Drosophila melanogaster: one gene and its partners. The protein of the gene in region 4 interacts with the protein of the main gene of each other region in a pairwise test. Each region holds a gene or a part of one and is shown on either strand. Other genes may lie near its edges. The genes, in order: Sp1, ATbp, CG15269 and CG42748.

Evidence for each region.
Region 1: the proteins of CG42748 (region 4) and Sp1 interact in a two-hybrid assay, tested with the Drosophila melanogaster proteins (one large-scale study listed by BioGRID).
Region 2: the proteins of CG42748 (region 4) and ATbp interact in a two-hybrid assay, tested with the Drosophila melanogaster proteins (one large-scale study listed by BioGRID).
Region 3: the proteins of CG42748 (region 4) and CG15269 interact in a two-hybrid assay, tested with the Drosophila melanogaster proteins (one large-scale study listed by BioGRID).

The regions. Positions count from the first base shown.
Region 1 is NC_004354.4:9,726,127-9,734,009, forward strand, and holds the start of Sp1 (Sp1), read left to right. Parts: upstream 1-3,521; 5' UTR 3,522-3,757; exon of another isoform or gene 3,758-4,173; 5' UTR 4,174-4,437; coding exon 4,438-4,551; intron 4,552-7,883.
Region 2 is NC_004354.4:23,103,115-23,110,596, forward strand, and holds ATbp ((A+T)-stretch binding protein), read left to right. Parts: upstream 1-2,888; 5' UTR 2,889-2,989; coding exon 2,990-3,169; intron 3,170-3,229; coding exon 3,230-4,216; 3' UTR 4,217-5,217; downstream 5,218-7,482. UniProt on the Drosophila melanogaster protein: May be a transcription factor for genes having (A+T) stretches in their promoter and/or enhancer regions. Binds to AT rich DNA.
Region 3 is NT_033779.5:15,106,338-15,115,170, forward strand, and holds CG15269 (uncharacterized protein), read left to right. Parts: upstream 1-3,067; 5' UTR 3,068-3,247; coding exon 3,248-4,189; intron 4,190-5,755; coding exon 5,756-6,577; 3' UTR 6,578-6,755; downstream 6,756-8,833. Other genes in the region: stc (shuttle craft), read left to right, coding at 7,553-7,897, 7,963-8,833.
Region 4 is NT_033779.5:22,130,905-22,138,947, forward strand, and holds the start of CG42748 (uncharacterized protein), read left to right. Parts: upstream 1-3,428; 5' UTR 3,429-4,203; intron 4,204-8,043.

The DNA of each region.
Region 1 (7,883 bases), on a different chromosome or scaffold from region 4:
TTTGATTACAAATTTTATCACGATTTTAACGAGGTATAGCATTCCATGTTCAGGCAATTATTTTTAAAGTTTTGGCCAAAAACCCATTTTTTTTATGACGGAAATGAAACATTTCCCAAAATTCGATATAGACGAATGGAATTTTCGTCATAAATTGGCTAAAAATTACCATAAAGGTGCAAGAATTACTGTTTTAAGCAGCTAATTACCATTGCTAACGATTACTATTGCTTTTTGAAGAATTTAGGAAAATTAATTTTTGGGACAATTTTCGCATTTTTTGTAAGGGGTAACATCATCAAAATTTGCAAAAAATGGCCAAAAAATAGAATTTCCATTTTTGAACACAGTTTGATTGGAAATTTAATTACGAGCTCAACGAGGTATAACATTCCATATTCAGGCTATTATTTTTAAAGTTATGGCCGAAAAACTGATTATTTGATGACCGAAATTCGGAAAAACGGATTTTGCCAAAAAGTTGATATTTACAAACGGAATTTTCGTCATAACTTGGCTAAAAATGCTCATATAGATGAAAGAATAACTGTTTTGAGCAGCTAATTACCAGTGCTAACGAACCCTATCCCTTTTTGAAGGATTTTGGAAAATTAATTTTTGGGTCAATTTTCGCTTTTTTTGTAAGGGGTAACATCATCAAAATTTGCAAAAAATCTGAAAAAAATAGATTTTCCATTTGTGGATACAGTTCGATTGGGAATTTAAATACGAGCACAATGAGGTATGATATTCCATATTCAGACAATTATTTTTAAAGTTATGGCCGAAAAACTGATTATTTGATGACCGAAATTCAGAAAAACCGATTTTGCCAAAAAGTTAATATTTACAAACGGAATTTTCGTGATAACTTGGCTAAAAATGCTCATATAGACGTAAGAATAACTGTTTTGAGCAACTAATTACCAGTGCTAACGATAAGTATGAGTTTTTGAAGGATTTAGGAAATTTAATTTTTGGGTAAATTTTTGCATTTTTTGTAAGGGGTAACATCATCAAAATTTTCAAAAAATTTCAAAAAAAAATTAAATTTTTATTCTAGAATACAGATTGATTGGAAATTCAATTACGAGCTTAGGAAGGCATGCCATTTCATATTTGGCCCAATATTTTTAATGTAGGGACATAAAAACTAAAAAATTTTCGGCGGAAAATCAGAAAAATTACTTGTGGCACTGTTTCACTTCACAAATGTATCGACTTGATGTGAGGAAATCGGAGCCACTCAAAAAAGGCAACAATGCCGATAGGTAACCACCCACTCATATGGTAAAGTGGGGGGAAAAGCGGCGGGAAAATGCGTGGCAGACCACCCTCGGCGGGCGGAAAAGAGACAGGTAGTGGCGGTGAGACAGAGCGATGTAGTGCAGAAAGCTGATTCGCCGTACAAATATCAGTGAAAGAGATGAAAACCCACAGTTTTCCACAGGCAGGGGACTGGTGGAAAATGTAGTGGGGAAAAGCGGGAATGCCGTCGTGCAATCAGTCAGCGTTATCAGTTTGCCCAGCTGATGAGGTCCAACCGCAATTCCATGGCCATGAGGAGTCAGGAAGTGGCTTGGCCTTGCCTGCGACTTTGGGCACACCCCTTCGACCCACCCACTCCGCCGAAACACCCACCCACCCAACGCCACCACTTAATGTGTTGCATTTGTCCTGCAGCACGGTCGTGATTCGAAGTTGGGCAGCACTACAGGTCACTGTAAGAAACAGGAATTGGAAAGCAATAGTTATCGCTTAAAACACCGGAAAAGTTAAAGTCAAATATTTCTTGTATTTTTATTTATCTTTTATTTATAATCATATTGAAAATTAAAACTAATAATAGGTGTTGGTTATCTTTAAAATTGATTTCATTATCAAGTTATTATGCTCGATACGTGCATACTGATTGGCACAAGGCCCACTTTTCCTCAATTTTCCCGCTGTGCAGAGAATTTCCCGCGGCCAGGCAACTTGTGCTGGGCACACTTCCACATCTCTACTGCCACATCATCCACCTCCATCGACAGTCCGTTGCTGGTTTTTGGACTTTTCAGCTTTTCTCACAGGGGCTGGCGTTTTTCGGCTGCCTGGGCGTTTTGTTTGCATAGAAAGGCCGGAGGGGTGGGGCGGCGAGAGGCGGGGCGGTACAGGGGGTGTGGTTCAATTAGCCCGCTTCTCAGCTGCAGCCCTGAAATGCAACAGCTCGACCGGCAGCTTCCAGCTGTGGGAGGCCCAACTGGCACGGGTTAATCTGGATTGGGTTCCGAATAATCACGACTTCTCGGGATCTTCCAAATCAGAGTCTAAGTACATATGTACATTGTTTTTAGTTTTCCTAAAATATTACTAAAATAACATGCTATGTAATCTTACAAATACTTTGAATTTCGTGAATTTTCTGAAACAGAATTTTCAAATGTGTCAGATAAATTCCAATTGTTAAACCCTTTTCTGCAGCCTTACATCCGGTGAAATCTTCCAAGTATTTGTTATGATTTTCGAACATTCTTAACTATCTATATATATTTAGCAATATTTTCCATTTCTAAACGCTGTGATAAAACCACACCTGGATTTATTTTGCTCAAGCTAAGACCATTTAAAGTCGCAATTTCCAGAGTTAGTCTACTTTTGGGGGCAAAGCTGTTGCAATCTAAGTTTCGCTGGTCTTTTCCAAATTTCCTTTTCTTTAATTTAGTCGTTTTCGAGGTAAAAACACGACCATTTCCCCGCAAAACTCCCTTTCGCTGCGACCGATAGTAACGAAAAGTCGAAATGGAAAACAATTTGTCATCTTGCGTGGATTTTCATTTCTATTCTCATACATATATTTCGTATACCCTTTTGTTTTTCCTACGATTTTCAGCTATCCAGTTCTGGGAAAACAACATTGGCGAACATTTAATTGAACGCAATAGTAGTTGTTGCCGTGTGTGCATTTGTTTTCAGTTTTTAACGCAGGCACGCGATGAAAGAGAGGGCCGCAGGACTGTCGAAAGAGACGGCACGAGGGGCACGTGTCCGTGTGCGTGCCATCTCGCTCGCACAGCGGCCATCGCTCTAATTATAGGTTAGGCCCGTCCGATCTGCCATTGGCCAAAGCGTTCATATAGAGGGGGCTGTGCTCTGGGAACTGGTTTTACCCAAAGCAGCCGGGGTTTTTATGAATGAAACTGGAAGGGAAAGGCGCACACACCACCAAAATACGAATACACGAATGCATATATATATATATATATATATCTTTACCCCTGGCACCCATTCGCACCACTCTAGAGAGTGGTGTGTGTTGTTTTATATTTTGTTGTTGCTGTTGTTTTTGGATTGTCTGTACGAGCGTCTCGCTTGCACTGATGGCATCGTTGGCCCCCACGTTGAATTTTGGTTAGTTGGAGTGAATTTACGACTGTGTGCTATCTCACTCGCACCGCTGCGGCAGCTACGCCGGCAGCGGCAGCGACTGTGGCAGCGTTGGTGGCAGCGGCGACATTTAGACAAGCTTTTTGTTCGCGTGAAACAGTTGCAAGCCTTTGAACGATCAGCGACGACGGCGTTACTTTTGGCGCGGATACAGCAGCGACACTTTTTTTTCGTTGGCAGGCGCCTCCTGTCACCAAACAAACAAATAAATAAACAAATAAACATAAAAACAAACAAGCAAATAAATAAACAATAAACCAACAAGCAAACAAACAAACATAAACAAGCCAACAAGCAGCCAAGCTAAACAAAACAACTGTGTGCATTTTTGGTTCGAGTTTCCTTTAATTTCCATCGCTTATATTTCATTTTTTTTTTGCCTGTGTTCCTTAGAAAAGAAGTCTATAAAGAATAAAAAAAATAAAAAAAAAATTAAGCCCATATATAGGCACAAAATCCCAGTGACAATAAGAGCAGTCAAACATTGCAACTCTCAGCAGCAAACATCAGCCGACGGCCGAGTGAAGAAAAGTGCAACGCCGACGGACTCGAGAAAAGATACAGATACAGATACGGATTATACATATCTGGGCTATTAGCTGGGCCATAATCTGCTCTCAAGCGATTTAGCCCACTTTGCTTTTTTTCTGAGTGCGTGTGTGCTTGTGCTGTGCTGTGCTGTGCTGTGCTGTGCTTGCCAATCCATTTGTCCATGTCCTTTACATCTTTTTTCCCTTACTCTCCAAGATCAGTGAGCCTGGCCTGCAACAATAGTCGCAACAAAGAAAAAAGTAGTTGAGTTGAGCAAGAAGAAAAGAATAGAAAATCGAACCCTAAACCCAAGTGGCCGCAAAACAAAGCAGAAGCAAAACAGACAGCATCATTGTGCGCCTCAAATTGACATCAGCAGCAGCAGCAGCAGCCGCAGCAGCAACGACAACTGCCACTGCCACTGCAGCAGCAGCAACATCAGCAGCAGCAGGAGACGCAGCAGGAACATCCACAGCAACCATGTTAACGGACATGACACCGACCGCCGGTCAGCTCTACGGATCCCAGATTCCGGCCATGGGCATGAACATCAGCAATATCGCCACACACTTGCAGAAGCCACAAGTTAATCCGGTAAGCCGAAATCTCAAATCCCAAATCCGAAGATACCAAAACCGCACCTCGAGATATGTATCTGCAAGATAGGTCACTACAGATACGATTTGGTCAGAGCGTTCTTATCGAAGTGTATCTTTCTTTTAACACTGGGCCTCAATTATGCACACTTACCGTCACTTTACACACAATTGCCATCCATCGAATAGAAAACTATCGACAGCATAGCCCAAAAGTAGTAGATTCTATTATACAGATACAATTACAGGGTGTAGAGATACAAATGTATCAATCTGTATAAGAAATTATAAAATTATGCCAATTATGGTGACCATTACTTTAGATACAATTGTCATGTCAGAAAGTTAATATTTGTAATATACAGAATTACAAGCATAATTGGGTCTTAATCAACTGTTCTAGAAAAACTAGTGTTTTTTGCACCCAAAAACGAAAAATGCCAATGTACTAAGAGCAATTTATTACACCCACTATTCGCTTCGCTAAACATTTCATAGTTATCGCTGCAGAGTTTAGCCCGAAAGTATCTCATAGATACATATGTGGGCTCACTGCGCACAAGTGACTGGCAGGCATTTGCTGACTTAGTCATGATTTGATGAATGCCTCCCGCAGACACTCGTGCACTTCGACATAAATCATTCGCGCAGAGAAGTCAAGAAGTTACTTTACGGCAAGTATTTCTGTATCTCACAGTTGCGGCTGCCAAATCCTTACCAATTGTCGCTTATAAAATATATGTACATACGTACAGTAATCGGACAAATCAGCCACTTACACGGCATTAGCATTGACAATAAACAGCCATAAACAAACAATGACAACAGACGCCGCGGATTTCGATTTGTATTCAGTTACGGATACGATTTCGCATCCGAGGAATTCACAGTAGCGCACACCTTTTGTCAGCCGCTCAGCTGGATTCCTTTTGTGAGGCGATGATGATTGGAACTCATCGGGATTGTTTGGTAGTATCTAATGCCGGGGAACGGGATACAAATCGATTGGACGCGGCTTGTTCAGCCCCGGATTTTTTCACTGTTTTCTGTGTGCCAACGGATTTCACGGTATGCGCCGCAGATACATAGCTGCAGATACAGATACTATTGATAGGCTGAGATACTGAGGTACCAGGTAGGCGCCGTTTGCCGTTTCTCGTTTCTCGCTCTCAAAATCAATTATTCAGGCTCACTTGAGGTGTGAAGCTAACGATGGAATCATTCCTGGGTCTACTTAAAATCTTTTTTTGTTGTTTTTTTTTTTTGTTTCATTTGGGGTTTTGGCAAATCTGTAGAGATCGTATTTCCACGCTGACTTTTCGACTCGTATCGCTTATCGCACAGCGGAAGCAAACACTTAAAGGCTAAAACGCATCAGGCAGCCGTTCATAATGATCTTTTGGCCCCGATCCAAAATTCGCTCATCAATCTCGTCCGGCCTTTGATCTGGACCGAAAAACTAAGACAGATTTCCGCTAATGATCGTTTTTGTACGGCTCCTCCGGGCTTTTGCTCTCGATTTCAATTCGAATTTCAGTTAGCTGATTATGCAAGTCCATCGTGCTGGCCCACATCATATGATATTGGTTCAAAACCCTGTAATTCACAGCAAAAGGTCAGCGGCTAGATCAGTTGGCTAAAAATAATTTGTTAAATTCCCCAAATGAAAACTTTGATGTCAATGCTAGAAGTCATTAAAATCAGAATCAGGGTTTGTAAAGTATTTAAAGAAGAATATAGTGTGTTCTAAAGTGTATACTTTAAAAGTTTAGCCAAACGAATAATTAAATAAATAAATTAGGGTTGATTGTACTTTAGATATACTATCTCTGTTCTGAAGGATTAGCCCGAATCGCATGACACTTTTAATAGAGTCAGCAACGCCAAATGGACGCAATGTGATTGAGGCACTTTCAATCTGCTGCCCCTGGCCACCACCTGCCCCTCCCCCCTCCCTCCTTTCCAACGTTCATTTTTCTCCGATTTTTTCACCTTTTTTTTTTTTGTCGAACCAAAGTGCAGACGCCACGCAATTGCGTGTGCCCATAAAAAAAAAAATGTATTTGCCAAGAACCGCAGAACGAAACGAGCTGGCTGCTATAAACTGGCCTGGTCTCTTGGTCTTTCGGTCTCGTTCTCGTTCTCCAACGGATCTGCATATTGATGGAGCAGCGAGGAACGAGAAACGTTTATTAAAATTAATACCACATCAATCATTTAACAAACGCGCCTGTCGGCCAAGTTCAAAGCGACGGCTGCGACTAGACCAAAAAGCAAAAAAAAAACCATATAAATATATATATATATATATTTATAAAAAAAAAAAAAACTGACTACGTCTTTGGGGTCTGCTTAAGAAAGTTACACATGCGCATTGGTTTTAATTAAAAGCGTTTAAAGACATCATAGGAGAGAAATATCAGAGGGGCAATGAAAAAAATGAACAGCAGGCGCAGAGGAAAGATGATAAATTACCGAGACAAACTGAAATTAACATTTGTGCCGGGAAAAAAAAGAGACAGCCGTGTGGCTAGCAGATCACAGAAAAGCTCAGCTCAGCTCCGCTGAAGGGATTATACCAGACTATACTATACCAGACTATACCTATATTGAAAGCCGCTGTTAAATTATTGAAAATCATGCAACGATCCGCGCCGTTTTCCCATGAACAGCAGCCTCATTTGTTCAGTGTGAGCTCTGCGTCGGCATAATCAGCATAACAAAAGGAATTAAGCAATAAAATATTAATGAAAATACACTGTGGAGAAGATCGCCGCGTCATTGACTAATTTGTTTGTGGTTCTCCGGCATCTTTCTCCACTCCGTTAAGAAGGCGCCAGAGATCTTGAAAGGTAGGGAGTGGCCAGCGGTAGCCGTGACAGGCGCCCCATAGATCGTACACCCGGAGAAATTTCACTGACCCTATGACCCGAGGAAAAACTAGCAAAGCAGTTGTATAAAGCAGATTGGCTAAGCATTGCCATTTAGCCGAGGGTTACTATTTTCATAAATTTCGGATCATTTTCTTTTACTTCTTTAAGGAGGTTTTTAAAGGAACTTCTTGCTAGCAAATCATTTCTTCCTTAGGCGATATGATTGCGAGATCAGAGATATTCTTAAAATGTACTTACAAGCATGATTATTTTGCCAGTGCACTTACACCTCCTTCTGGCTGCTCGACATATTTACTTAATATGATTTGGCTTAATGAATGCGCCTTGGCTTTTGTGTCTGCCCCTTTGCTACATTGTGGCCATTTCATTCTTTTCCCCTCTTTTCTAGTCTGGGCATTTTTCACCTTTGACAAAGGCTGTGCCCGTCGCAATTAAC
Region 2 (7,482 bases), on a different chromosome or scaffold from region 4:
CCACTCAACTAAGGGGAGAACGAGGGAGAAACTTTGAAACTTGATTGTCATATCCATAAAATTGTTTAGAATAACAAGAGAGAATGCTATAGTCGAGTTGCCTGAATATCAGATACCCGTTAACCCAGATATTTTTCTGCGATACCAAAAGATGTTGGGGAATAAAATGAGAAAAAATTTCAACAATTTTCAAAAGTGGGGCGTGACCGGTTTGTCGGCTTAAGGGCGTCACAGTGGGTGTGGCAAACAGTTTTTTTTTTGCACATCGATCGGAATTTACAAGACTAATAAAGATGTGAAAAAATATCAATATATTTTTCAAAAGAGTGATCGTGGCATTTTTTCGTGGGCTTGTGGGCGTTGCAACATGGATCAACAAACTTGCGCTGCGTCTTTGTCTCTAGAATCTGCATGCTAAATCTCCGCCTTCCAGCTTTTATAGTTCCTGAGATCTCGACGTTCATACGGACAGACGGACATGGCTATATCGACTCGGCTATTGATCCGTTATACAGTCGGAAACGCTTCCTTCTGCGTGTTACATTCCTTTAAACGAATCTACGTTACTCTACGAGTAACGGGTATAATAACCAAATAAAAAAGTCTAAACATATTTAAAAAATTTGGTTGGCGTTCGAATGAGATGGTGGAGGTATTTTGGCAAAGCGATACAAAGTAGCAAAAAATCAAAAAATGCAATGAAAAATAATTATAACATTTCACAAAAGTGTGGGTGTGAACCTTTTGGGCGGTTTGCCGTCGTTAGGGTGTGCGAATATTTCAAAACTTGCCCACGTACCACTATGTGAAATTTTACCACTTTTTCTGCCCAAAATGAATAACTCCAGGACGTTGAAAGATATTCAGATTGGGTTACAATATATCCGTTCTGAAACCGCCCCTTATATTTGTTGTAGTTTGTAACTCTAGAACGGATAAAGATATTTAAATTTTTTTGCCATTATCTTTTATGATACCAAAAATTGTGGCCGTGGCACCGCCTCTTATATTTAATTAACTAATTTTGTATAGGTATTTCTCTAATTTCGTATGCTTTTTCTAGTCCAAGCAAAAGAATGGTAGCTGTTAAGATGATTTTGGCTTGATGTTTGATGCCAATTTGATGTCCTCGAGATGTTGGTTATATACATTTATTTATATATTTAAGTATGTCCTGTGTGTTAAAGTTTTCAATAGTTGTAAGTGGATGGCTTGTTGCGGTTCTTGCTTGGCTGTCAGCGAGTTCATTTCCTGGTGTTCTTAATAATGCAGAATTTTGCTCTTTTATTTTTATGAGTTCTTAGGGCCTCAATAATGGCTAGTATGATGTGCCGTTTGATAAGTTAAATTTCGTAGTTAATAGCGAAGCTGGTAATTTTGTTTGTTTGAGATCCATCTGTGTAAATGTAGGTCTAGGAAAGATCGTTAGTTTGCTTATTATTTAATATTTTCCTTATCAATTTTGGGGTCGTGTTGTTTTTGTTGAACTTATTGTGTGTTGTGTCGATTTTAGAAAGATTGGTGTTTCAGGGAGGTGAGGTTTGGGGGCATATATTACCCGTTACTCGCAGAGTAAAAGGGTATACTAGATTCGTTGAGAAGTATGAACCGGCGGAAGGAAGCGTTTTCGACCATATAATATATATATATTCTTGATCAGGATCAATAGCCGAGTCGATCTATCCATGCCAGTCTATCGGTCTGTACGTAGGGAAATGCAAAGACAAAACAAAATGTGAAAATATATCGCACATACCTAAGTATGTAGTTATGTAAATACACATACATATATACATATATTTCACATTTTACATAGCCACATATGAATATACATATGTGTTTTCGGGTAGGGTATCATTTTAAAAGTGTCTGTCTTGCGTTACTTACATTTTTTCAATAACAAGTACTCAATACTTTTGCTTTTGGATTGTATTTTCTCCACTGTACATTTGTATAACAAAATCCATAATATTATCTTTTAAGCTACGCATTAAGGTAATTTCAGAAGGAAATGAACGATTCCTAGTGACTTCAATATTATTGAATAATAATTGATTTTTCCAAAAAAAAGATTGTATTCAAATATATTTCGGTATTGTTATATATTCATACATAAATTCATTTATACACATAACGGAAAATTAAAAAACATCGATTAGTTCGTAATCAAAGCACATTAAATCAATGCTTAACAATAATCAGGACACACTATGTAGTACGTTATTTAAAAAATTATTAACATAATGCTTGTGTTCTAACTAAATAACCGACTGACCCTTTCAGGAGTAAGGGAGAACTCTTCATTCTGATAATGAAAATGCGAGAAAGATGGAGCTATTCAAACAGCAAAACATTGATACGGACAAGTCCAGTTCGACTCTACTAGTTTTCCTGATCAAGAATATATGTATATACATTAAAGGGTCGGTAACGCTTCCTTTTACCTGTTAAATACTTTTCAAGGAATTTAATATACGCCTCCACCATACGAGGGCATGAAAATCATTTTTGGTACTTCACAACATTTTTAAAATTGTAAAAGGCTTAAAGATTCCATACAACAGTTATTTAATATCGATAGAAAATTCGCGATTCTGGACTTTTATTTAGAAGTTTTTACCTTATCGATATATCGATAGAAGATATTTAAAATGCTATAAAAGTATTTTGGTTCTTCCAATGTCTAACGCTTTTTTTGAGTGTCCTGTTGAGGAAACCAATGTTTTTTAAGATTTTTTCCCAAAGCTTCACATGCGTTTTATCGTTTGTAAATATAATTCCTAATTAAAGTTTTTTTTATGGACCACTGATATGTAGTTCTTTACCATCAATGCGATAGCTGCGTTCAAGTTCGACACTAAATAAGGCCGATGATTAATCGATACTATCGACAGTGCCCATTCGGCCGATAGCTAAACAAAAACAAAAAAAAAATAAACATAAACAAACAACAGCACAAGGACCGGACCTAGTCAAACAAAACAACGCCATGGGTTTTCCGCGCATCCTCAGCAAGAACAACAAGATCTACACCAAGCTGGGCGAGTTCTGTTTGTCGGGGGATAGCTTCTGGATTGTTTGTCACACGTGCCAAGAGGAGTTGCAGACACAGGATCAGTTCTGGAAGCACATACAGGATGAGCATAATTTCATGCACGGGGTGGCAAAGGTATGCTTTATGTGGTTTTTTTTTGGCGGAGGGTTTATAACCCTTGGTCTCTTTACACAGGAACACAGTCGTACATCCAGCTACTGCCTAACGGATGTGGAGGCTGCGGCGGCAGCAGCAACGCCAGGAAGCAGCTCCCAGCAAGGCGCCACAGCGATCAGTGTGCCTCTGGCACTTTACACCTGCTCAACCAAGTATTCTGAGGAGGAGCAGCGGGAGGTGGAAATGCACGAACAGCAGGTGCAACACCAAGTGCAACAGCAGCAAGCGCAGCAGCAGCAAGCGCAGCAGCAACAACACCAACAGTCTCAGCAGCAAGGGCACCAGCAACACCAGGTTCAACAACAGCAGACCCACCAGCAGCTCCAACAGCAGCGGGATGTTGCCAAGGAGCTGGCTGAACTCCATGCCAATGCGGTAGCTGCCGCTGCAGCCTCCGCAGCTGTGGTATCCACAGGCGAAGGAACTACCCAAAGTAACAGCGCCATCGACATTAAAATAGAGCCCAGCAGTCTGACACTTACACCCGAAATGCAGGCTGCTGCAGCAGCTGGGGGGACCATTTACCATCTGCCACAGCTAGTTCCACCACCTGTACCGCCTCCACCGCCAGGGTCCGGATTTGTAAGCGTCAGCGCCAGTACCAGCACCTCCAATACGGTCAGCACCACGCCACCCAATGTTCTACAGCAGCAACAGCAACTAAACATGTCTGTCGTTCCTTCGACGGCTATGGCCGCCGCTATGCTAGCCGCCAGTCAGGAACAGCTGCCCAAGGACTCTAACAGCACGACGGCCAGCGCCGGGAGTGCTGTCTCTTCAGATGACGGAGAACGCTGGTACGTCTGCGATTACGAGACTTGTGGTTTGAAGTTTAAGTATAAGTCGAGAATGGAGCTACATCGGGTAGTTCACAGCAAGGAGCGGCGGTTCAATTGCGAACTGTGCAGTGCCTCCTTCAAGCAGTCGTGCAACCTATCAACACACCGGAAGAAAAAGCACGCACTGAGAGGCATCAAAAGCGAGATATTGCCGCAGCGCTTTTAGGCTATACATTAAACAGAGACAGCTCAAAGATTCCCCAATTAACCACATTGCATCTCGAAAAACCCTGTTTGAAAATGTTGACTTAAGTTCAAGGAAATCGCTTGTTTGCCACAAAAAATGTTCATTGTGCTAGGAGCCACAGAAATCTGTTGAATTAGCAAGGTGTGTACAAAAGAGTTCTACATTTTGTCTCTTCCATGATTTCTCTGCCTTTTCTAAGACTCAATAAAGTTATAGACTTTATATTTATATTTATAAATTAAATAATTCTGGATAATTCCGACTGTAAATTAAAATTTAGCACTGCGTCAACATTGTGGCAGGCAAGTGACATATATATGTATATCACATATGTGTATATATATATGCTCTACAAATGAATATATATTGTATATAAATAAATATATAATATAAATATATATAACATGTATGCATATTTAGTATATAAAAATATACAAATATAAACTAATATCTAATGTAGGCTTAGGTTGTCATGTAAATGTAATGTAAATGTTTAGGCAGAGGTATGAAAACCCCCGTTATCTTTTACGCTCTAAGTGTACATGCAATGATGTGTGTAAAGGAGACCAAAATTTAGAAGACGGAATTAAGCCCAACCAAAAAATATGTTGGTGTCTAGACCGTTGTGAGTTTTGTTTTAGAGTAAATTGGTTCACAATGTGTTAAAACCGATTAGTCTCCTTTGAGTAAGTCTTTTACTTTAAGTTGAAATGGATTCTGAGGACAGCGAGATTTCTGGGACATATCTAGTGGTTGCTGAAATAGTGTCAGTTACAGTTTACAAGGTTAGAACAGTTATTTACCTAGATACACAATATTTATGTATATATGGCCATATATACAGCTGCGAAAAATTTAATATTACCACTTGCCCAATCAAGGTTTGAATAAGTCCCAATTTTAGGATTTAAAAAGAGCAAAAATACCTTTTTAGAAAAGTTAAATCATGCACTTATTAGAAAATAAAAAATAATTACATTGTTCTATGAGTTCTTAACTTAATTAGCCACGTCATGAAAAATGCTTAAATATTCAATTTTAAACAGCTGTTCAACGTGTTGGCATGGATTGATTCAGGTCCTGGCACTGTTTAAGGGATATTTAGGTCCAGGACTTCTTAATTACAGCCCAAAGTTTTCCATTGTTAGTTGCTCGAGAAGCTACAACTGCCTTTTTATTATCGTTGAAAGTATGTAACAGGCAGAAAGGAATCCGACCATATAAAGTATATAACTGCTACGCCCACATTTTTGAAAAATTGTTTGATATTTTTTCATAATTTTATTAGTTGTGTAAATTTCTATCGATTTGCCAAAAAACAGTTTTGAACAATTCTTAAATTTTTTCTCATTTTATTCCCCAATATCTATCGATATCATAATAAAATGATAAAATTTCGTGTTCGCATTCACACTAGCTGAGCAACGGGTATCTCTCTTGTTTTTCTTGTATTTTATCCATTGCCCACAAAGTTAACAACCTTGCTCACATCTGACCATAAAATGTTAATGCGCTTGGCTATGTGTCTCCCATTAAAAGGAGGGACTTTCCTTGGACTTCAGTATTTTAAACCATGTTCCCTGAGACATGTTCGAACTGTTTCTGCTATTGCGAATATGCCGAGCATCTGTTTCAGTTCGATAGCAGCTTTAAATGGGTCCTTCCTGCTCTCGCGCACTAGCCTTTTGAGTTTTTTAATTTTTCGCACTATGGGAAATTTGAACACCTTTTTTGTCCAAAATTAATAGCTCGAGAACGATATTAAGATATTTTTTTTGCATTGGGTTACACTAGCACATAACTAATTTTGTATAGGGCTAGGCGATTTCTGTGGCGCTCTAGCCTGTCGTGGTACCCGCTGGAGTGCATGTTTATTGCCTCGAAGACAGTGGCTAGCTTGAGGTCTTTGTGCAGGGTTGCGTTCCTTACGAACCATTCGTATCCCGTTATCATCCTGGCGATTTTGTTTTGGGCAGCCTGAATGCGACGAATTTGACTGTCGCACGCCAAGCCCCAAATTTGGCAACCATTCCGACATATTGGCGCTAAAATTTGCTTGTAAATTGTCACCTTGTTGGAGAGTGACAATTTACTTCGCAAATTAATTAACCAGAAGTGCTTTGACGCTGCTGCACGTATACGCACTCTCATCGCACTTGCTTCGGAAAGTTGAGTCTCCGATCCAAGATTACACCAAGATATTTGGATGAATTGGACTGGGGGACAGGGGTACCATCGATGAGCACAGCCGGTGGTGTTCCCCTTTTCAGTGTGTAGCACACATTCGCTGATTTGTCACCATTGATGCCAATGTTCCAACGTCTTGCATATTGCGCAAATGTTGATGTGAATTCCTGGATGCCTTGATATTAAGGGTGAGAGTGTCAACAGCTTCTTCTAGGTCTCTCCATCTTGGTATAAACTGTAGCTGTTGCATCTAGTGTATAATAAGCGGTAGGGGGTCGGAGCTGAACTCAGCAACAGAACGTTCAATATATCAGCATGCATATCCAGTATGCCCCTGCTGACAGCAAAATCTATATATTCTGGGGAGCCTCTACTGCCGTACGGGAATCTTGTAGGACCTCCGGTTGCTAGGGAGCTCATATCTGAGCTTAGGACCAGATTCGCTAGCTCACGCCCTCTTCGATTGCACCTACCCGCTCCCCATAGCCAGTGGGATGCATAATGCATTTAAATTCGTCCGTATTCCATATGAACCTCGGGGGCAGTATATCGCGCAAAAATTGACAGGGCCATGGCCCGTCTCGATGGCTGCAGACGCGAGTTGCACCTTGTCAGTGGCTATCGGTGTAAGAGGGAAGTGGACTAGGCTGGAATTGACCAGGATCGCTGCACCACCTTTGGCGTTACCGTCGCTCGGGTCGTTGGCAGTGTAGGACTGAAATCCAAATATTTTGGGTATATGCGTCTCCTTGTAGTGAGTCTCGCTGAGCAGCAGGACGTTGTGCGCCGCACAAAGCATTCCACTTCTGACAGCTTCGTGGACACGCCATCGGCGTTCGACACTAAGATGCGCAGTGGCATCATTATGGCGCTTGACGCGCTTGGAGAGCAGTGAGCAGATTGATGATCTGCCCCTGCTGCTGTGACTGTTGTTGCTGTTGTGTCATCATCATCATCATTAACTCCATCTGCTTCTCTTGAATCGAGCGCAAAGAATTAATACTTTCATTTAGCGTCTGCAGGATGGCTTCAATGCTGCTGCTAGCATCCATCGAGCG
Region 3 (8,833 bases), 7.0 Mb from region 4:
ATTCATATGCACAAACATACATACCTATATAGTTTAGCCACTTTGGATCCGTATATACATATGTACATACATATATGGACGTGCATATATAATTTACGAATATCGCTTTGTTCGCGCTCTACTCTCCTTTGTCTCTGTCTCGTTTTCAGCGAACTTTTATTCCATCCATATAAATTATATCGCGGCTAGACAATAGTATAACACCTCCTAAATGCTGTTGTTAGAGCCCTGTTTTAGTTTTATTGCCAAGGCCTGACAAATACATAAGTTTGGGAATTGGGAGGTGGGCGTTTCTGTAGAATTTGCATGCAAATTTTGAACCATTTCTAAGCACTTTCAAGTTTTCCGATTAGTTTTGAAAGTAAAGCGAATAAAACTATTTTGTCATCATTATTTTAAACATTTTTTCTTTATGTTATACATAGCTCTAAATAATTTAAAATGATCATTTTTGTAATTACTGTATTCAATTTAACTCAAATACATTTCATGGCCAAAACGTGTTACCTGGAAATTCAGAACTTTATATTTTTGTTGCTTTTAGTTCGCCTTGAAAGATCAGAAAGTCCAAAAAGGTCGTTCAATCTTATTGCCAAAATGTTGGACCCACCATCGCTGGAAATAAACTTGGCAAATCAACACATTTGTCAAGCTACACATAACAAGGCGCAGACGAGAAGGTCCAAACAATCCAACGATCCAAAGCCCCATCAGCGAATAAAACCAAAGGTCCACGCAACTAAGGAAATTAAACGGAATCCGTAAGGAGGACAAACCCGAACCGGCGGTGAAGATCGGAGTTCGGTGGGGAAATCCCAGGCAAAGTTGATCACCCGCTGACAGAAAATCACTTGGCAACGCGGCTGATCATTAACCGATAACACATGACATTAAAGAGTTTCACAAAGAAGTTTTAAACGCACACAAAATAAGATAAATGCCGACCACCCCAATGAGGGGGAACCAGTCGACTGAACCACAACGCACAATCCCGACAATAACGAGCGGAAAATTAATAGTGTGAACAAAGAAGAAGAACCATGGGGAAGATCGAGGAGATGGAGATGGAGATGGGGATCTGGGCATCTGAGATAGGTATCAGCTTACATTGGAGACGGCCCCAAAACGACGACGGTAGTAAGGAGTTGGAAATTTGTCAAAATGTCAACGGGTGAAACAGTTTTGGAGCGTTCATGCGAGTCACCTGGATGCGTTGCGATGGGATGCTACGGATGGAGATGGAGCTGGCAATGGAGGGACTTCGCATGGGGCAGCCACGTAGCTTTTGTAAAACAAACCATTAGCAGCTAATAAACATTAGTCATGCGACAAAACAAAGTCTCCTGGAGTCTGCTGCAGAGGCCCGATGATTTAGTGAGTGTAATTAAAACTTAAGTTTCCTTCGCTTCGCATATGTAAATTATCTGGCGGAATTCCACGAAATGCCAACCGAACTGAAAAAAAAAAACGAAATACGAAAAAGAGTTTTTCAACTAAGGTTGAACAAGTTTTGTGGTGTTCGCCCGGTCCTCATATGTATAATTATAATGAATAGCCTGTTTAATCAAAATTTATGCAGATCGTGGTCAACCAAAGCGAGCAGCGCGTGTTGACAGTCAAACCATTATTAATCACTGGCAAGAGGATCGGTAGTTGGCTAGCGCGGAGGATTTGAAGGGGCTTCTCCGCCAGGTAATCCTGATAAGATCGTTTTGTAAGTGATCGTGGACAAATCGTGTGCAAGATTGTGCCTTGCGCATTAGAGTCTCTCTATGCGGCAATTGGCAATTAGAAAACAGAGACTTTCAATCCTCCAATCCTTGTGAGTCAGAATATCAACTCCATTTCACCGGATCTCATTCCATGTAGCTGTAAATGTATACCACTTCATTTGTATCTGCAGCTTCCTTGAATTCGCGTGGTGTGTCACCATTTTACTTCACCTGTGTATGGATCCTCCGAATCCTCGGCCTGGATACCATGTTATTTATGCGCGTTTCATCCAATCACAAATCACTTGAGGAGCATTTTGTTTTGCACATTTTTATGGCCGCTACTGATGCTATGCAAGTCGAGGAAGTGGTCACAGTCCCTCTTGGATGGCAACTAAATGTAGTGGATCAAGCTTAAATGCTTCAGAAAGAGGTATTTGTAGGGCACCCTTAATTGGCATAGGCTATTTTTTAATAAATTTATGGAAAAATATTTGGGTTCAAATTGTTGTTTCTTAAAAATTCTTTACTTTACTTTAATGGCACAGCACGTCCTTAATTACTAAAATATTTCAAGAGGGTGTCATAATCATCCATATATGATTATTTAGACCTTTTGGGCTTACGTTAAGTTTTTTGGCCAGTGTGGTCAATCATGAACCGTTAACAACCCTTTTTAAATTCGCAAGAAAAATACCTGATTTCCTATACACCATTTTGACGATCGTTTGACGGTTATGTCATCTAGTCCCTAGCTTCAATTCCTTCCCACACTCACACATGGCTAAGACTGCAGAGCCGTGACGAACCAAGTCACCTCAAGAGATGATCGCTGCGCATGCGCATAACCGTAAGATTCACACATGCCTGGGAATCGGATTCGGAATCAGCGAGGATGTGAATGTGGACGGGGATGAGAATGTGTGTGTGTGGATGAGGAACAAGAGAAATACATTTTGAAAATTTAACGATGCGCACATTTTATTACCGCAATTAATTACAAAAACAACGCGGCCAAAACGAAATCTTAGTCACTTTATCAGAGAGGTCCAGTGGATAAAAAAAATGAAAGAGAGTAGTGCACGGAGAGCGATCTGAAAGGAGCGATAAGGTTTATGATAGATGTGACTAGTAGAACGCTACTAGCAAATGGTTCTGGGTCTGCAGATTGCAGCTCCTCTCGTAATTGGAGGCGCGACAGTTTGTCTCCAGCAGTCAAACCTGGTTAATTGGAGAAGAGACTCCCGGTCTATGAGAGAGAGAGATACGGAGCGAGACCGACCTGTACGGTCAAACCTGTTTCTCGACCAATTAAATTCGAGAGCGGGAGCGTAAGCCAGGCTTTAGGCCCGGCCAAAAGACGATGACGGCTGCTGTGGGCTGTGAGGCCAAGACATTTCGTGTTTCGACGCGTAACGCGACAGTTCCCCGGGCTAAAAAGCGCCTACGCCTCAGAAAATAGTCATCCGAAACGGTAACGCCTGCGGTCTATGAGTGATTCTTCGGTGTGGAGAAGAATGGGTTTCAAGCACGCCATGCTGCAGCGCAGTTACGACCTTTCGCCCTCGCCGGCGCGTACTTCACCCACCAATGGAGTCCAGAACTTGGGAGCTGGGGCACAGTTGCCACCGGCTCAAGTCACTGACTTTAGCATCAGTAAGATTCTGGGCAAGGAGCGTAAATCCGCTCAGGATACGAGCACGAATATCCTGGATCTATCCAAGAGCAGTAGCAACAGTATTAGGAGCCCACAGGCTCTTGGAGGGCTGGCAATACCATCAACTCCTTATGCCTCCGGTGCCTACTCCATGTTGCCGCCAGATTTGGTGGCCATGGCCAATGCCACCAAGTTCTATGCCCAATTCTTCCCGCACTTACTGCCCGCCTATGCGGCTGCTGCAGCGGCTGCCGGCTTGAGTACTCCTCCTACGTCGCCCTATCAAACACATCAGCATCAGCAGCATTTGCCAAATCAGCAGAAACGCTTCTTTGCTCCCTATGTGATCAATGGATCGGTTCCCCCACCACCACCACTGCAGCAGCAACAGCAACCTCTCATACGCACCAAAAGCACCGCATGCACTCGTCCGGATTGCCCGGAGTGCCTGGATTATTACCAAAGATTGCAGACTGGTGGCTATAAGCAGACCGCACCTCTCATCTCACCCGCCGCCTCCTCGGTGAGCAGTTCCACCGGATCAATACGTCCTGTGAGGGATCTGATTATGAGTGCCACTGGAGGAGCCGCCAGCACTAACATCTCACTGACCACCGTGACCAATCTGAGTCTGAACTCGGTCCAGGCAACGGCCGTCGGAATGATGCCCAAGATGACCGGTGGACTGATCACCACAGCCGTCGGCAGCAACAGTGGAGCAATCGGTGGTATCGGTGGATACAATGCCACATCCGCCGAGGAGATCAGCTACAAGTGCCGGATTTGCGAGAAGGTATTCGGATGCTCTGAAACTCTGCAGGTGAGATTTTATTATTGTTATTAAATTATTATTACGATGGTGTTCTGTTTACAAGTATATATCATTTATGACAACCAAAGCGTTTAGTTATCAGTTATTAGCTTTAGAAAAGATAATTCATCCTAAATATATTCCAAACTCTAACCCAAGGATTCAATTTATTCTTAAAATCCCTCAAAAACGAGTAAACACAAAACACCCACGAAACAAATTTTTATATTTATAGTGTAGACAGAATTTTAATTTTTTTTATTTCATTAGACCTTCAACTTTTAAAAAATGAAATACAAATATTCAAAAAATATATGCAATTCCCAATTAGAATTTAAGAATGAAATGATTTAGATTTGCCAGATTATATTTTATTTCAGTTTGCTGCTGTTTAGTTATAAAAAAAGCGAAACGAAATGAACGATTGTATGAAATTTTCTTATAAATTAAATAGCACAATCAAACTTATACGTAAAGTCACTTAAAGAGTTTGTACTTACACACAAGCATTTGGCAAATGCACGCGTATTTTTTTTTTTAATTATAAGTAACAAAAAAATTAATGATTTAGATCTCATCAACGGTTACGTATACATTTATCACAAAGAAATATGTGTTTATGCGGAGTACTAAATGATTGAGAATTATTATTGCAAAGCCATTAAATAACTTTAGGAATTTAACTCCTTTCAAAACATCTAAGCCAAGAACAGCATTAACCTTTCACATGGCCATACATCACATAAGATATCGTTTGGCCGGTCCTCAAAGTCCACATCCACACGAGATCCTCCCAAAACGGGTTTCTTCACCAACAGAGATACCATATGGATTTGGGCGGGGCCTAAAAAACAGAGAAACAGTAGTCTAATTGGAAGGCGGAGCTCCGAAGAAAAGAGTGGAGATTCAAGTGGAGTGGGGAAGAGAGAGGCAGCGAAGAATTGAGTGCCTTATGCAAATCTCGCAAGCAATCCGAGTTCAAAATGGAGTCGGCCGAAAACAGAAACAGAAGCGGGCAAAAAAGAGAGAACTGGTTTTACGCATGGGTGCAGCTACAAGATACGTTAGAAAGGGCCAGACGCCGAGCGAGAGGTAATCACAAAATGGCCACTTTGGGAAAGAACACCAATTTCAGTAGCTAACTGAAGCAAGCCACATTTGAAGTTGCAACAAAATTATTACAAACAATGGGGAACATTCGAATGTGTAACCATGGTATTTTTTGCATTTCTGGCTTATTTTGTATAAGTATAAATGTGTCCAAAGCTCAGTTTTCAGTAACTTTATATTCGAAATCTTCCAATCCTCACTAGAACTTATAGAATAAGGTATTAATATTAGGACCTAATTAAAATGTTGCTAAACATACTCATCTTGAAAGCCTCCCTTCCAAAAACTAACTAACTAACGAACAGTTTGTAGAAAATCGCTGTTTTATGAATTTCACAACAGATTTTCACTACCTCAGGTTTTTTATTAAAATTTTAAATCTCTTACTATTGCTACAATATTACTATTGCTAAGCTAATGTATCTTATTTATTTATCTTATTTGTCTATTATGTTCTTATTTCAGGCTCATGAAAAGACGCACAAATCGCCGCGTTACGAGTGTGCGGATTGTGGAAAGGGTTTCTCCCAGCTGCGAAATTACAAATATCACCTGTCCGTTCACCGAGGAACCAAGGAGTTTGCCGCCGAGTGTCCCGAATGTGGCAAGACATTCAACGATAAGGGATATTTGAGCAGTCACCTAAAGATTCACCGGAACCGGAAGGAGTACGAGTGTCCTTACTGTCCCAAATCGTTCAATCAGCGTGTGGCCTTCAATATGCATGTCCGGATTCATACCGGCGTGAAACCCCACAAATGCAACGAGTGCGGAAAGAGATTTTCGCGTAAAATGCTGCTCAAACAGCACATGAGGACGCACAGTGGTGAGAAACCGTATCAGTGCTCCGTGTGCGGCAAGTCCTTTGCCGATCGCAGCAACATGACCCTGCACCATCGCCTCCACTCGGGAATCAAGCCCTTCAGCTGCCCCCTGTGCCCCAAAGCCTTCACCAAAAAGCATCACCTAAAGACGCATCTGAATTACCATACAGGCTGCAAGCCGTATGTCTGCCCACATCCCAACTGCAATCAGGCATTCACCCAGTCGAGCAATATGCGAACCCACGCTAAGAAGTGTCAGTACCGTCCGTTGGATGGACTCACGGTCACATCATCCGCACTTCCAGTACCGGGAAAACAACAAACAGGTCCACCGCCCACTTTGGCCATGGCCATGGCTCAAACATTTCAAATGCCGCCACCTCCTGGAGTTCTAACACCTGGATCTGGTCCATCCCAACCGCCGAGTCAGCAAACCCTTCTCAGCAATCTCAGGACATTCTAAATGGGTGGAATCGTTGTGCCCGGCCAGTTTCAACCAAATTTGTGGCAATTACAAAGTGCAGTACTTCCACTGTTGTTATTCAATTTACATTTATTTTCAAGCAATAATTTTGCTAGAAATTAAATTAGGAATAGACATTAATTATTATTAAAATAGGCATATATATTGGCCAGTCAATAAAGTATAATATCAAATACAAAAGGATTCCAGGATTCTAGAAATAATATTTTGGATTGGAGATATGATTGGGAGTCCAACTAGGTAATTTCGCTTATAATCAGATAACGCAGCCTTATTTAATTCAAATCTTCTAGTGACAAAAATTAAAAGATGTATGTTTTTTTAGTAAACAAATGAACGAACCGTTGCAGTACATTTAACATATTTAAAAGTGCGCTCTCACTCAGCCAGATGGCGCCACCTGATAGTTTATTACCACTGTAGGTGTGTTGAGTAACTAAACGAAATCTTGCTGTTAAATTGTATTCACAGCTGTCCTAAAACCGAGTTGGCAGCCCTTTTCCCCTCAAAAATCGAAAGTCTGTTAATATATCGATAAGTCAAGGCAATTGTCAGTGGTACCGTTTCGTCTGGTATGACCGTGTTGTGAAATTTTGTTAGAAATTTACAATATAAGCGAGCATAAAAAACGCAGGAAAAGCGCAAAAAAATCAGTAAAACGTGCCTGCGGACCCAGGCTGCGGTGCGTCCAGTTGGCCGTAGAAAGCCTTTACCAAATTCGATCGAACTGAGAATTCGATTCGGTTAACTTCTGCATTGGGCTCAATTTCACCATTGCACACGTGTCTGGAGCTTTTCCTGGGTTCGGTCACCTCCTCCTCGGATTGCGGACGATCCCGTGGTAGCGCTGGGAAATGCCCAGCAGAGGACGGCGGGCAGTTCGAGATTGTTCCGGCAAAGAAGCAGGCGCAACTGCAACAGACGCTGGTCACCAACGACAGCACCGGACTCTCAATGGCTGAGTACTGGCAGCAGTTGACCAACGGCGCCGGAGAAGCGGGACCCGGCAATGAGTCATCCGCCATGGCAGACTGCAACGGAGGTCACGAATCGGCGGCAGTGGGTGGTTCCTGCAACAGGCACAGCAACAACAATTACGTGAACTTCAATCAGTTCATTATGCAGCACAATCTGGGTGGAGGAGCGCCCTCGAATGCCACCAGCACTATGCAACATCCGGTGGGCAGCAGCTACACTAACTTCTCCCTGGGCGGCGGTGGAGGAGCCTTTGGACTGAACCCACCAGTGGCATCCGCGAGTACCAGCCACTTTGCAAATGTGAGTCATCAATCTCCGAATGTATGTTTCGATATATTAGAACTTAGGTTTAGTCCTAATGAATCAACTAATAAATCACAAAACAGTTTTACTCGCAGGCCATGATCCCAACCTATCAAAATGGCGATGGCATCGCTAGAGTCACCGTCACCAGCAGCTATGGGTCGGTCAATCCGAGCAACAGCAATTTTTCGAGTTTTTACACACCTTTTGGCAATAATCCGTTTGACTTCAGCGCTTCCAAGCTGCAGGCCTCGGCTCCGGAATTCGTGCCCAATTTCGCCAAGCTGAGTCTAGAAGAGACACCGGCAGCCGCCACTACGAACGGAAACAGCACTGCCAGCCTAGAGACTGCCATAAATGAGACGAGACCTAGGACTCTGCGAGCCCAAGAACCAGCTGAACGAGGAGCTAACAACCAATGCTCGAACCATAATTACGAACGGGAGCGTGAGCGGGAACGTGACCGGGACCGGGACAGGGAAAGAGACCGGGACAGAGACAGGGACAGAGACCGGGACAGAGACCGGGACAGGGACAGGGACTCTAGACCCGGAAATACGCGACAACAACGCCGCTCCGACTATCGGGACGATCGGGAGGACCGGTACGAAAGAAGCGATCGTAGGAGGCCGCAGAAGCAGCAACGCTACGACAATCATCGCAGCAACAAACGCAGGGATGACTGGAATCGCAACAGGGACCGCATCAACGGCTTTCCCAGGGCCGTTGACGATTTGGACACGAGCAATGAGAGCGCACACCCATCGCCCGAAAAGCAGTCGCAACTGCAGCAAATCTCCCCAAGGCGAGGTCCACCGCTACCACCGGCGGATAACGAAAAACTATCGCAGCGAGAGAAACTGGTTCGCGACATCGAACAGCGCCGATTGGAGTGCCTTGTATGCGTGGAGGCGATCAAGTCGCACCAGCCAACCTGGTCGTGCAGGAACTGCT
Region 4 (8,043 bases):
TTTAACGTAGAAAATGTTATGTATATTTTTCTTTGAATCATGCACTTAGGCTAGTGAACATATTTTCAAACCTTACCGCTCAAGTGATCATTGACTTAAATAAAATTTTACAAAACTCAAAGAACATCCAGCAGCACGCAGACACGTATCAGGGGAAACTCAAGAATGAATGAAACACGTAAAATCGGTGAAAATATACAACGCCGGTGGGGATCGTATTGTTTTAATAATATTATATTTTTTAATGAAGTACAGATAATATGGAATTGACTTTGATTGAATTTAAAAATGTATATTAAAATTTATCAGTGATAACAAACATTTTATATTTCTTTCACCAAGTGATTCAGTATATGTATACAATTCTAGTATTTTAACTTCTATTTAACGAGCACTTAGGGAATGTGAATTTCCGTCATTCGACTGCGCCAATTGCATGCTAAGTATTTGGTTGCGGTTAACAACCAAGGCCGGAGTACCCCCAACGTTGAAAACTATCTACGTCTCACAAGACAAGCAATTACGATCTCGAACTTCAAAAAGGTAAACAAACCCAAATGTTGTGCAAATTCTAACGTTTGATCACCCCTGATCGCAGATTCCGTCTATGCGGATTGTGTTGTTATCCTGGGAAAGCTACAAATACCGCGTATAAATTTGCTATATTCGTAATTGGGTTCGAAGCTAAGCGATGCCCAGCCTACCAGTTCGGCGTACACGGAAGGATTCCCAATTGGAGAACGATGACGATCTTGGTCGTATTGCCCAAATTTATCCCACCTATGCTACACTCAGGTAGATATTTTTGGATCAGCCGCAAATTTCCTGGCTTGGCTATGTCAAATGACTTAATCGACATTTGATTTCACGGTTTTATTTATACGGACATACATACATGTATTTCATATTTTAAAATATACATATTTGCCTTATTTAAAAAATAATAATTAATGCTTACTGACTAGTACCTTCCGATTTTGTTTAAAATAAACACGTAATTATTATCTCCTAAAACTAGTGCAGGCTCACAATTACCACCTGCCTTTCAAAAATGACTTAAAGATAAAGAAATGTGAAAAATTCATTTACTCACTAATTTGAAACTTAAACTAATAATATACACACATTTGTAATATTTTAAGCATAAGAAAAGTTAGTATGCATTCAATTTTATTGTTTGTGCATTAATATGTAGTTATTTTTACGCTTTTAGGTATTTAAATATAGTCCGACATCAAATTAAAACAAGAGAGGACGCAATAATCAAGTTGCCCGACTATTACATATCCGTTACTTAGCAGTCAAATTAAAAATCTTTTTGCTTTTAGCTTTTGATTAAAATTTTGAAATCGGTACCCAGGGTACCACTTGGAGGATCATGAGTTGCAACGGGGTCGTTTAAAACAAAATCAATGTTTGGGACCTACTTGAGTTTTCAAACTCCAAACCAAAAATTTGGTTTTCGTAGCATACGGAGGCATACATAATGTTAATATTAAAAATTAAATATTTGTAAAATAAAAAAAAAATTAAATTTCAACGCTTTTTCAAAACTGTGGGTGTTTACTAATGAAGAAATGGAAAAACATTTTACAAAAGTGTGAGCGTGACTTGCGTGGCTGGAATCTGTATGCTTGATCTCAACTCTATAGGCTTCCATAGTTCCTGAGTTCATACGGACGGACAGACGAACAAGACCAGATCGACTCGACTATTGATCCTGATCAAGAATATATTTACTTTACATGGTCAGAAACTCTTCCTTCTGCCTCTTACATATTTTTCAACGAATCTGGTACACCCATTTTACTCTACGAAAATAGGGCAGGGGTATAAAAAGTTGAAGATAACTGTGCCGATTAAAAACTGTGTCGATTAAAAAATTGCTACATTTTTATAAAGAAAGTCCGTATATACCAAATGTATATGTTAGAATGTTACTATTTTTTATACCCGTTATATAGGGTGTATATATTCTTGATCAGGATTAAACGATCTGTCCGTCTGAACGCCTGGATCTTAAGAACTTATAAAGTTAGAGAGTTGAGATTTGACATGCAGATTCCTAAGACGCCAAACAATTTTTGGCCACGCCCACTCAGGTTTAGCGGTTTTTTCCAATTGGTGAATATCTTGTTGATTGGAAAGCTGCCGCAGATTTCCATGTAGTTTTTCGAGTATAACATACATATGTACATTACATACATATGTACACATAATAGTCGCCTTCGCACACTTTTCTAGTGCGCTTCGTCACTATCGTCCACGGTAGTATATTAAGGGTACTTCAGGCACTACAAAAAATATCTTATTGCCTTCGATGTAAGAGATATATCGCAGAATGGTAATAATATCTACACTTGCAATATAGTTATTATCCATAGTCACAATAGGTCTTACCGCACTTACTACATAAATATGTACATACATATGTTGGTCGCCAAGGACTTTTACAGATTTTAATTTGTTTTGTAATATACAAGAAATAAAAATAAAATTTAAAAAAAAGCTCTTTTGTTTGCAAACAATAATCTGATTTTGTATTGATTACTTAAAAAAATTTTACGAACATTTACATATACATATTTAACCTATATTTCAAATAATTGGTATTAAATATACGCGTATATATATGGGGAACATACTAAAACTTTTAAAATTTTAATAAAATAATTAAAAAATTTAGAATTAAACTTCGATTTAGTGTTTTGTGTAAAGAGTTTCTTGACAGTCTCAAATATGTGCAAACTTGGAATTTGGTGTTTATTTTCTTGTATATTTAATATTTTTAATTTGATTTGATTTATAAGTAAAATAAATATTGTTTAATTATATTGAATAAAAAAATTGCGTTTAATTAAGCAAAAAACCTTTAATTTTTAGCTTTAAAGTCAAAAATTCAACTTATTTCACAGTGTGTAAACAGTTTCTTGACAAACTGTATATATTATTGCGTATATTTGTATGTATTTAATTGAACTATTCTAATATGTATAATATTTTAAAAAATGTTGTTAGTTTCAACGTTTGCATACATACTTTCAACCCGCTTTCAACCCATTCTACCGCTCCACTGCAGCGGTAATGTCAGATATACGTGCATATATATATGCAACATACATAATTATGTATGTATGTACAAAAATCGCAAAGCTGTCTGCGTATTTTGTTTTTGGCTTAAGTCATACCCATTTAAGTGGGTATAAAAAGGGTTCATGCCATTTTCGTCGCGCCCTTCTCTAGCCGAGATTCTTCTTTGATTCCCAATGTTTTGGAACAAGCCTGCCTGTATTCTAACCAGTTTCTTTGTTCGCCTTGCTCATGGCTTTAAACGGATCTCTCTCGTGCCTCTTTCGTGTCTCCGCTTTATCTCGGTTCTCTCGGCCACGTTTAGTCTAAGACACGTTTACAGCTTTGCTCCGCTCAATTCAGTCTCTATCTGAGCGTTGTCTTTGCGAGTTAGCCATTTGCAATCGTGCGGTCTTTTCAATGTGTCTGTAGCCGCCCCAATTACATATGTATTTCGTCTGTGGATATATGTACGATGTACATATGTATATAGGATGTACACATTTGTACATATAAATATATGAACAATGCCTATTTCTCCAGCTTTCGTTTACAGTAGTTTTGAGAAAGAAGTGTATCTGAGTGTTTACGTGAATATTGAGGGCACAAAACAAAATAGCAGAGCAAAGAAAAAATAGCTCGTTGTAAATTAGACATGGAGAACATACAATGCCTTTCAAAAAGTTATAAAAGTGACCAGAAGACCGCGGAGATTTCGTTGTCGCGCTTGTCATATTGCCCAACCGGTCAGGACTCTTTCTACTGAACATTCTATTGTTATTTTATATAAGTATCTATGTACAGATGTATGTATGTTGAAGCCGAATAAAAAATTAAGCATGGATTTGTATATAAATAAAAATGTTTACTGCATTCCCGACATATCAACAACACAATACATGTAAATGTATGTGTATGTACATGCATATGATCACATTTGCTACTAGAAAGCTCTTAGAGACCTCACCGCTTTCTATTTGAAAATACATTTACACAGTTACACAAAAAAGATATGTTTAATACGGCCATATAAAATACTGCCATCCACTGCGAAGTACATAGTACAATTTTGACTAAAACGATTCCTTTCTATGGCAGCTACGTATAACATAAAGTCAGCGATCCGCAAACAAGGTATACCGATGTATATATATTTTATACATGTATATTTTAAAATAAATAAATAAAAGCTGTGTAAATTTATTACCATAATGGTCATGTAAAAAAAACGAACCGAATAAATTATGTTTATTCCAATTTTTGTGCGGTTTGTTGTTTTGAACTTACACTGCCGCATAATTGAATAGGTTTGACTATTTTAAATTTTTTATAAAGAAAACAGTCCTCCTTGGAATAGCAAAGATTTGGTTCTGTAAATTTTGTTTTTATATTATATGTTTTTATATTATGTATGTTTTTATATTATTTATATTATATAAGAAGAAATCTCCATTGTTTTTGGCTCATCTGAATAGCTTTTACCCTTTTGACTTCTCTTTTTGTTGGACCGTGTGGTTGAAAAAGGTTGCATTCTTTTGTATTCTATTATTTAAGACATTCAATACCTGTTTATTTATAAAATGGCCGTGGAAAAGCTTTAACCGAGGTAAAGTAAAAGGCTATATGGATATGGAATCTGCGAAGAAAATAGGTCGAAGTCAAAGCAATTAGCAATTTTGATCGTAACTAAGCAGACTATATAAAAAATGAGTGGAGGGAAAAACATGCAACAACAGCATCGGAGGAAAGACTTATCATACGAACTTACCAAATTCCACTCATTCTGATGGTAAAATAAGGGAAGAATGCGAACTTAAAGAATTTGAAAAAAAAAACTCCATTATGATGCTCGAAAAAAAATCACGACTTCGATTTGCCCGAAAACACGGAGTGGAACAAGGAGTGGAAGACGGTAACCTTCTCCGACGAAAAGAAGTTCAACCTTGATGGACCTGATGGTTATAATTACTAATTTCACGATATCTTTTTATGGAACATGGTCCAGTTCCAGTTTGTCACCTCGAAGATGAACGCAAATGCGTACTAGGCTGTACCTTAAAAGGGTTTTCCAACGGTTTCTGAGATTTATGTTCATATTCAATTGACGTTCCATTATGACACTGATTTGAATCGTAAAACAGTGGATTAAGATTGCTTGAGTGGCCGCCTTGCTCCCCTCACATCAACACTATCAAACACATTTGGGGACCCTTGTTATGGAGAGTATAAATTAAAATAAAAAGTATTAAAAGTATTAAATTAAAATAAAAAAATAATATAAAAACAAAACTAACAGAACCAAAACTATTTTAAAAATGACGTTTTTTTTATACAACAACAACAACGACAATTTATTTCGCTTAAATCGTAGTCCACTTTAAGGAGCTGCAACGTTTCGAAAATTGGAAAAGGTCAAACCATAGACATTACAATAATTATTCGAAGTTCTAAATTAAATAAATTATTCTAGTGTCTTTCGTGAAACCTACTGTAAGCGGTACTGTATGTTTTCAAAGCCTCAAAAGCGTTTTTTGTCCCCAAAAGATTTAGCTTAAAGAAATTATAATTCAACTAGATGTATAAACAATTATAAAATACGTCATTTAAATTTTAGGTTAAAGTAGCAAAAAGGTCTGTTTTCGACCATATAAAGTATATATATATTCTTGGATCAACTCGGCTGAATATGACTTTCAATTCAACTTTCGGATATATATCTTTCTAGTTCTTTGTAAAACGTTATAATACTTCAAATTCAATTTATGTAACTATTTACACTGCACGAAATGCTTTTCAAATGCTGTTATGAAAGAAAAAGTGTGTTTGGAACGTTTTTTGTCTAAGCAACAGCAGATTAGAAAATATGATTAAAACAAATATATATCTTCTTAATTTCTGTTGGATTTCTTGAAAACGATTCGATCAATTTCAATTCCTAAATATTCAAATATTTAGAACACATTTCCGTAGAAAATTCGCGAAGGATAATTATTATAATTATTTAGCAACAAACACGATCACTATCCATTTTGAGCAATAGATTTTGTATGAGCGAATACACAAGTTGTTTCAGGCCCTTGCACACATTTTTATTACACTAAATTGCTCGATATAAAAAATTAATTCTATGACTTTTGAAAAACCCGCTACTTTACTGCATTAGCTTTTTAAGCTAGAGATACAATGACGGTAAACTAAACATTTGATAAGGCTCGTTCCAAAATATTACATTTTTTATAGTGTATTGTGAAGTCACAAAACACTAGACTCTTTTTACGCAATTATTAAAAACGAATTAAATAAAAAATGTCTTAAAATAGCGGGCGTGTCAAAAACATCTATACAAATCAAGGAAAAATATTCAAAAGTTTGGACGTTGAGCTGCTTGAAAGCTTTCGAGAGGGTTTATGATGCGGTTCGGAAACGCCTCATTTTACCTATTTCTAATCTATTTATATATTTTTTTTACTGTACAAGTATATTTATTTTTACGTTGATTGTTTTTAATCCCGAAAAATAAACTTAATTTAACTGGCTACAATTACATACAAATTCGAAACGAAGAATCGTAAATATATTCTTACATTTTGATTCGAATATCATAAAACAAGGCGATTTCCATTTCCTGCAATTGGGTTCAAGGTTCAAGCAGTAAGGGTATGTTAGTCTCGGTATTGTGGCTTTGTAAATTTTTTCCTCTTTTGGGCTTTATGCTTAAAAATGTGGGACGTTGCCAATTACTACTAGGGCCACAACAATACCGAAATATGTGAAAAAACTTTCAGAGGCTCTGTAGCGTGAACGAGTGAAAAAAGTCAATGAACCCATGCTGTATGGTACAATTGCCTCTTTTTTCATTGCTTTTTCCCAGCAACACAATACAAGAAATTATAACAGAAAGGACCATATATTTTTCAAAAACACAGTAACTAAAATCGTAAGATCTGTTTGAAGCCAAAATCCGAAATAGCCGATACTTATTACTTGTACTTAAGTAGAATGCAGAAAAAAGATTTTGCTTATGTTTTAAGTTATACCCTTGCCGTAAATATACATACATATGTATGTACATATATTGAAATTTCTATCAGTATGTCACCTTTTTTTTGCCACTTCCAAAACTCTCACTCCCACAATTTCGAAAAATGTGCTGATATTATCTTTTTTAATAATTCCTGTGCCAATTTCTGTGGATATGCCAAAGAATTTTTTAATTTCTCGTTCGCACACCAAATAGCTTAGTAACGAGTAACCCGCCTACATCGCTCTTTCTTGCTTAGTTTATAATACTCCATATGCATACATATATTCAACATAGACATAATATAAAATAAAAATAAAAGGCTCCCAAGCCTCGTTACTAAATATGTTAGGTGTACCCACACATGTACATACATATGTAGATGTGCATGTGATAATCACACCCCAGATGTGCAATTGTAGCAACCAAACAATTGCTTGGAAAAGTTGGTTTCGCATGAAAGGTAATCAGAGATTAGGTAGTGTTGTAAATAAAATAAAATCTCTACGTTTGTGATGCCATGAACTGTAAAATCCCTGCTGAGCATAAAAATTGCTAAACCCACAAACCGCTTAAAACTTTTCCGTTCACACTGTTGAAAAACGTATTTATTTTTGTATGCCCTTGCACAGGGTATTTTGATTTCAGTCAGAAGTTTGCAGCGCATGAATTAAAGTTTATATATTCTTGATCTATATGAGCTGCCTATCGGATGTAGACATGCTTATCTGTCCGTCCATTTCAACAGAAATTCGGTCTGAGTTTTAAAGCTATTCTCATGAAAGTTGTCCAAAAGTCTTCGAGCCGGTTCGGTCGACAAATATGTAATTAGCTGCCATTGGAACATTGATAATGAATTGATAATAAAAGAAAAGAATATTCGGAGAATGTTCACCTGATTTTTGACAGCATCAGATTTAATTTTTAATTTCATCAAAATGCATTTTATCATG